2 linked regions of the Stegostoma tigrinum genome follow. The main gene of each other region encodes a partner of the protein of the gene in region 2 in a complex. Links are inferred from orthologs where the notes say so. Each region holds a gene or a part of one and is shown on either strand. Other genes may lie near its edges.

Evidence for each region.
Region 1: the proteins of myo3b (region 2) and espn are in contact, whole or in part, in a crystal structure (PDB 5ET1), measured with the Mus musculus proteins. The link is inferred for Stegostoma tigrinum from reciprocal best matches to the Homo sapiens genes MYO3B and ESPN. Residues at the interface, in XP_017174528.1 of Mus musculus: Arg1223, Arg1224, Gln1226, Gln1227, Pro1228, Lys1229, Met1230, Leu1231, Ser1232, Ser1233, Asp1236, Thr1237, Met1238, Tyr1239, Tyr1240, Asn1241, Gln1242, Leu1243; in NP_997570.1 of Mus musculus: Leu35, Ala37, His41, Arg45, Ala67, Asn69, Ala71, His75, Asp76, Ala79, Thr80, Asp101, Ser103, Leu110, Arg113, Phe114, Thr135, Thr137, Ala139, His143, Tyr144, Ala147, Thr169, Asn171, Tyr177, Leu178, Gln181, Ala203, Asp205, Met207.

What each region holds. Positions count from the first base shown.
Region 1 is NC_081381.1:19,872,622-19,876,542, forward strand, and holds the start of espn (espin), read right to left. Parts: upstream 3,101-3,921; 5' UTR 2,851-3,100; coding exon 2,557-2,850; intron 1-2,556. UniProt on the Homo sapiens protein: Multifunctional actin-bundling protein. Plays a major role in regulating the organization, dimension, dynamics and signaling capacities of the actin filament-rich microvilli in the mechanosensory and chemosensory cells.
Region 2 is NC_081360.1:50,928,287-50,932,207, reverse strand, and holds the start of myo3b (myosin-IIIb), read right to left. Parts: upstream 2,664-3,921; 5' UTR 2,522-2,663; coding exon 2,466-2,521; exon of another isoform or gene 2,386-2,465; intron 1-2,385.

The sequences.
Region 1 (3,921 bases), on a different chromosome or scaffold from region 2:
CTTCTGTCAGATTCAAATGTGAGTCAGAAGGACATTGTGCAGGAAATGATCGTTCTGATTTGGCCTGCGATGACCAATTAACAGTCAAAAGGCCAGCTCACAGTCCACCCAAAGACCATAGGTGGGCTCTCAAGGCTGGATGGTGATTCACTGGCCTTTCAGCTTGAAGGATACAATGAAAGGTGAGTAAGGATGAAGCACTTCAAAATGAAAGCACCCACTCTCCAATCTCTTTGTCTAAATTAAAAATCATTTTTACAGCTGGAGCATCAGGTTTTGGTGGGTGGGGTTTGGGTGAAGGGGTATGGGCATTCCTCTAATGGTTGCTGTTTGGTTGCTGTTGCACCTAGGAAGACCCAGAGGTATATTGGGTGGTTAAGAAGGCAGCATGCTTGCCTTCATTGCTCAGACGTTCTAGCATAGGCTTGTCTCAATCACCAGCCCAGCCTCAGCCTGTCTCCCACTGAAAGTCTGCCTCCAGGCAGCTGAGCTGATGCCCATCATCTATCTAAACTGGAGACCTGCTGGAAAATCCATCAGCCTTCTTTGATATTCCTGGCAGCCATTAACAAGATGGGATTGGCTATCTGCTGCTTGGAAACTGCAACCCTCAATCCTCCCTCCTCAAAAAATAGCTCTGAACAGATTGGGGCTGGGGAAGCTCGTGGCATTATTTTTAAGATGGTGGATAAAAATTAAGACCCAAGTTATTTTTAATCTAACAGCAGTAGTTTTCAGATGTCATCAAGCGCCCGTGTGAAAATTGTGTGTAGTAGGTAGGAATTCTGATTCCTTAGCAAATTTCATTCCGACTGACGAGATGTGTGCATCATTTAAGAAATTATGAAGAAAAGACTTTCCATTTAGGGCTCCTAACGCCAAGCATTTGCAAGTCTGTCAGATGTTGAGAAAAGTCCTCTACATTGATGTAACAACTCCAACTAGTTAGAATGCCGAACTTGGTACCACAATGGACTAGTTAAGGCGAAAAGCAAAGATGTATTTAAGTACAAACTGGATCAACATCTTAAGATGGAAAAGAACAGGACAGTTTGATAGGGTTAAACAAGATAAGGAGAGAGGAGTTTTGGTAAGAGCATAAACACCAGCACAGCCTAGTTAGGCTGAATGGCCTGCTTCTATGCTGGAAACATGAAGTTATCCTACGTAATTCGTAATCATTCCATATTCTCAGACCACAAATATTTTTTTCAAACTGTCCAATTTAACATTAATCATTCTCCTCACGTTATCTTAGTTGTGAGAGAAAGTTGAGAGAATAAATGATAGAGGACATAGAAATTTGAAAATAAGAGTGACATGAAGGTGAATAAATAACAGAAGGGTGAAAATGAGGTTCATAGAGAAAATGAAAAAGTAGAGGGAAATTGCAAAATGATGGGAAAAGACATAGGGAAAAAAATTCATTAATATCTAAGATAGAGCACATAAATAAGGGACAGGAGTGGAAGAAGGAAATTATTTGCAAGTGAGTTAGAAGAGTCACTTAGTGCTTAGTAGCAATTCAATTCCCAAGAGCAGAGGATTACAGCGGAGAATAGCAGGACAGAAAGAAGATATACAGTGGGACGTTGAATTTGCATTGTAAAATGCAACATGCAAGCAAATATTCCAAACATCTGTGAAATGCAAGTGAACAAAACATCGTGACTGAAAACAGCAGGTATCATCATGAGGAAAAAAGCAAGTGGTTTCTCTGTTTCTCCCATTTTTCATTACAGTGTAAGAGCTCAGATGTGACAACAAACTCCAGAAGTTTCAGTCTTGTGAAAGATCTTGTGTTTGTTTTGTCCAAGATGAAATCAGATCAACTGGAGATCAGGGAATAACTATCGAACTTGTAATGTTTGTAACTCTGAAGTTACCACAAGCTTCATCAGGGCAGAGTTCACTTCTACTCATTGCATTTAGAGAAGAAGTGTTCATAACAGTTAAAATTAATATAAAGCCCATTAAATTGTTGTGGATCTAATTTGGAGGTGGGATAGAAATCACCACAATTAGACTTGTATATGATTTTGCTTCTATTCAAATTATAATCAACATGATTATGATCATTGGGAAACACAAAATTGTGAAAGGATTTATTCCCATCGACAGATACCATTGCAAACTATAAGTTAGTGTCATACAATGGCAAGATTTTAAAAAGTTTTAATGACATTTCTCCATTCAGTGAGCCTTATTCCTGGAAACACTTTCCAGCCACCAATGCTCCTTCCCATATCCCATTTCCCCCAACTCTAATCTACCCCCAACATCCTACTCCAAAGTCCCAATGCCACAGATACTTTACAACCGTTGAGTGTCTCCAGCCCTCATCCTATTGCCCCAACTCCTATCCCATTGATCTCACTCCTTGCCTCCAGCTCCTGCCTTAGTTTCTATTTCGTTGCTCTGAGGTCCTGCCCCCAGTGCACCCCACTCCTGCCCTACTTTGAACCTCTTTGCCCCCTTGTTCCTGGCCGACTCAGCCAAGCCCACCCTCGTGCCCCCAATGTTATTACCCTGTCGCCCCCGCCCCCAGACCTTTACCTGGATGTGGCAGCCTCCTGAAGTGAGCAGCCACTGCAAACAGACCGAATTCCCGGTGGCCGCTGCATCGTGTGCCGGAGTAGCCCCATTCTTGGCTCGCTTATTCCCGGGTAGTTTCGCCTCTTCCACCAGGAATTTCACGGCGCTCAGTTGGCCGGATCGAGCGGCGTGATGGACTGGAGTCGCTCCGAGATGGTCGGTTACCTTCAGTTGGATCAAGCCCTGTTTCTGCAAATCCTGCAGCGTTAGCAGGTCCCCGTTCTTTGCAGCAACCAGCGAGCGGTCCAAAACCATTTTGAGGTTTTCTTCCTCAAATCACTAATTCCCAGATTGACTTGACCTCTTTCACTTTCTTTGGCGTGGCCATTTTACACTTGCGTCTGTTCCTTTTGTAAATCCCACTGGGCTGAACCATCCTGAATATTTAATGACAAGAGATTTGAATAATCCATAAGAGAGAGAGAGAGAGGCGGCACCAGGTTAGGCAAAGTTCTGGGAAACGGGAAGCGCTACTCTCATTGGAAACTGCCTGGAATTTACTGTGAGAGTCTAAACAGGAGCCTGTTAGACAGAGGCAAGGTTCTGAATGGGATTCACAGTTCAATTTCGTTTCATTGAATTGCCCTTTGTCAATAGATTATGTTAAACAACCCAAACAACAACAAAAAAAATGCAAAGATCTGCGGATGGTGGAAATCCAAAACATGAACAAAAATTGCCGGAGAAACTTAGCAGGTCTGGCACCATCTGTGGAGAGAAATCAGAGTTAACGTTTCGGGTCTGGCGACCTTTCCTCAGAACTGATTTTAGCTAGGAAAAAGTTTGGTGTACATTGCTGAAGATGGGGAGGGTGGATATGGAGCCCAGAGAGGTAGAAAAACACCTGGGCTGGCAAAGGAATGGGTAGAGGTCAGCCGGGGAGAACCAATAGCTGCTCATGTGGGCCATTAGTGGCTGATAAAGGGTTGGTTTTGGTAACAGTCCAGGTGAAGTTGAGGCCTGGGGTGTAGGGGTTCGGAGAACCGTAAACTCAGAACTCTTTTGGACTGGAAATGTTAACTCTGCTTTCTCTCCACAGATGCTGCCAGACCCACTGAATTTCTCCAGCAATTTCTGTTTTTGTTTTCAAACAACCTGCTCTGAAATCTACATAGCTCGAGTGGGACTTGGACATGTGCCTCCTGGCTCAGAGGCAAGGACACTGCCACTTCACCACAAACGCACACCATCCCCGTAACGACTCCTTCCACCACCCAATCCTGGTGCAATGTTCACTCTGAATTGAACAGCAACAGGTGGTTCAGTTGAGCTGAAAGAATTGCATTCATCCAGCTTAATGGTACTTTGATCATCCCTGGTAGGTAC
Region 2 (3,921 bases):
GCACCTCTGACAGCACAGGACTCCATCAATACTTACAATGGAGTACTCGCCTTGATGTTTGCACTCAAGCTCTAGAGTGGGAGTGGAGTGAGTGCTTTTGACCTTCATCATATGGGGAGAAGCTCATACTCCACTAACTATTCTGCTTTCTTCATGGGCTGTTTCCAATCTCAGTGAGTTGCCTTTTGTTCTGATACAAGGCAGGTATACACTGATACAGGTTGCAACTGGATAGATAGGTTAGAGCAGCAGCTGAATCGATACAGAACAAATATGCATGTCACTTAGCAATGCAGTATTTGCAAAGTGCAGTGATACAAAATGTACTGGAGACCGCAGCAGCATTAATTCTAGGTTTTGAAGGTAACAGCCAATAGCCTACAAAGACCCTAGAGAACATATAGAAAAGGTTGATGAGACTGGTTTCAGGGATAACAGAAATCGGTTACAAAGAGGCTAGAGAATCTGGAGTTGTTCTCCTTGGAACGCAGGAAGTTGAGAGATTTGATGGAGAAGATTAAAGTCATAAAAGATCTGGACAGAGTAGTAAGAAGCTGTTCACATCGGCAAAAGAATTGATAACCAGAAGGCACAGATTTAAAGTGATGCAAAAGAACCAATGCCAACTTGAGAAAAACGTTTTTGTGCAGTAAGTGGTATGAACTGGAATGCATTACTGCAAAGCATGATGGAGGCAGATTTAATTGTGACTTTCAAAAGAATTAAATGAGTAGTTGAAGGGGAAAATTTTGCAAAGCCATGGGGCAAGGGCAGAAAGATAAGAGGTGGGATTTAACAGATTGCTGTTTCAGGCTCTGGTCCAGATTCAACAGGCCAAATAGCCTTCTGTAGCCTTTCTGTGATTCTAACAAAGGCCAGAATCTCCAGTCAAAACCAAATATTACAATGCACAGAAAGAGTAATAACTCAGTCAGGATTTATTTCAACCTTCAGTTCAACCTGCTATAACTATGCAATCTCCTGTATGTTTGTTTAATTATCCTGTTATAAGGCAGCTTTATACAATTTTAATTTTTAAAGAAGGATGAAAATACTGATGGTCCTTTGTACTAACACTGTGGGCCAAACATTTTTTGGAGCAGGATACGTGCTCCGTTTGTTAATTCCTTTCCTTATCCTTCAGCTGGGTGGAGAATGGTGCCACAATTGCTCAAAGTACAAATCTAACAATGGTGCAACAAGATCAATGGGGCATCTCAGAGTGGAGGGTTAGGTGTCTAAAAATCTATCTTCTTAACCAATAAGATACAAAAAAATTGGCAGAAACAGGAGTGATGGAGAAGAAATAGGTTGAATTTAAGATAAATTAGACAAAGAAAGTGAAACCGAGAAAGAGAGGAAAAAAGATGGAATGGGAAAGTTAGAAAAAAAATCAAAACTTTTAAAATGTTTCCCAAAAGAAAATATGGAGGACTTATGGAGAACAACTGCATGCAGGAATCTCATGTTCTAATCTGCCTTTCAGTTTCTCTGCCATTTGCCAACACAGTTTCATTTGTTTTCTTCCAGGAATCAATAGATTTATTAGCATTACAAGAATGTAAATCTCATCCTTAAAAGGCACTTACATTCTTAAGTACTCACCTTATCTTAACAAACTCATCCTTCTTTAAGTTTCTTTAAAAGTTTTTTTTTGGCTAAGGCCATTTAATTAGTGTTAGGCAGGACTTCCATCAGTGTCCAGGAGAAAGCTCTGTCTTGTCGTGGAATGACAGAACTTTATGTACAGAAGAGGCCCTTCATCTCATTGAATCTGTAACGCCAAACCTATACAAATTCTACACTAATTCCATTTTCCAGCACTAGGTCTATAGTCTGGCAGCCCTAAATACAAACTGCTCCAGCAGGATGGGTGGACATTGCTGGTACTGTAGTTGGCCAAGGAGGTGGCATTCTGCAATGCATTCAGGCATGCAAGGACATCCACGACCTCAGCGAAAAGAAGCTGGCAACCCCTGGCAGGGGGAGGATGGAGTTGATGTTTGGCATGTTGATTAGGCCGAGGGTTGACATCGGAAAGCAAAACCGTGGGCACCAGGCATCCAGAGGGAACCATCCCTCTAACTAGCCAGCAGCCCACATGGTTAAACATACCAGGTACAGGCTGAGCACCAACATGTCTCACCACCTGTTAAATAAGAGCTACAGTGGGATATTGCCCTTATTTGAGCTTAATTGTCACTTTGAGGGCCTCAGGTGCTTCCCCCAACACTGCTACTAAATTTGGAATGGGGTGGGTGGGCCATCAATATCACCATTGGCACAGACCTCTGACTCACAGGTCCACCCACTAGATATCGTGCCAGCAACATTCTGGCACAATTTTGCAACGAAGAAGCACACAAATTAATAAATTGTGTAAGATTATTAATATATAACACGAACCTTTGGGAAACATGCAAGTACCTCAAACAGTTGAAAGCAATCTCTTAAGTCGATCATACCTGGCGTGAAATGATGAAGACCTCAAAGTAAAGGAAACAGCAAGAGATAAAAACATCCAAATTCTGAAACCAGTTTTACCCTGATCCGGCAGGTTCTTGTTGTTTCGGTTTCCCGGTGTTAAACTCGAAACAAACAAGTCGCCTCAGAAGAAGGATTTTGCAGAAGTTGGAACAGAGTTGGTACAGTTTGACTGGAGCGAGGACGGCAGGCTCGGTGTGCGCGTGCCCGCTCCCCGGCGCGCGCCTGTCATGCTCTCCGCTTTGGAACGTCCCCAGAGCCAGTAACTTCCATTCGAGAGGCGCATCCAGTAGAGGCGCCACTTGGCTCCTACCTGTCTGCTGCACGTGACCGCCGAAACCAGCTGCCTCGTAGGTGAACAACTCCATCTTACATTTAATAATTTACCAGAATTTGATGAGCCTACAAAGAATTTACCACTGGTGATTCCGGCCGGGGGAGAATTATTGCCATGCATTTGGAATTTATAATAATTGCTGAAAGATGTGTATAAATTATGGGAGGAATAGGAAGATAAAGTGACAGTTTTAATTATTTTCGAGTTTAATCATAACTTCTCCAGTCATAGTGTTTGTACATACTCATAAAACACAGAAATGAGTCGTAAATTCTTCATTGCCCTGTTTATTGCTCAGCGAGCAGCTAATGTAAACATGCCATTCCTATGTAATGGCTATTGCCATTATCTCCAAGGAGATTCACCTTGTATGTATTGAAGGTAATCATTGTTTGATTTAGTGACTGCTTTCAGTTTGCAGTTTTGTTTCCAAATCAAAAGATCAAATGGTCAGGTCCCACGCTGGAGAGGAAGAATGCGATTTGGGTTGAGGGGTTCTTGAGGCACAGTGGTAGAATCCCTATCTCTGAGCTAGAAAGCCCAGGATCAAGTCCCACCTGTTTCAGATATGTATCATAACATTTCATGAAAAAGTTGACTAAAATATCTGTGATCCAAGTTAATTACAGTATGAACAAAATGCTGCATAGTTGAATAACAAAGATATATTAAATTTATGGCTGTCTGCCTTCCTAGGATGGCTCTAAAAGATTCCATGCTGTTTTTGTTTTTAGAAGAAAGAGATGGTAAGGGATTTTGGCCAGGTTTTAGCGCTCAATCCTTCCTTCTTTTAGCTGTTCCCATGATACATGGGATCACCCTATTTCTTTTTGATCTCTCTCCAAGTCAGTATCATTTTCAGATTTGGCAGGTGCTGGTACAGCCAGATGTCCTTCTTGCCACTAATCCATCCCATTTATCCAAGCTGGGGAGCTGGCACTGACACACACTGGCTTTTGTGCAGCAGTTGTTCAGTTTTCAACAGGACCCGGAGCAAGATTTTACGCTGGGTCTTCCAGCTCAGAGACAGAAGAGCTAACTACTGAGCCACCAATTTAAAGTTGGGGCAAAAGATGTAGGGAGAATGTGAGGTTGAACTT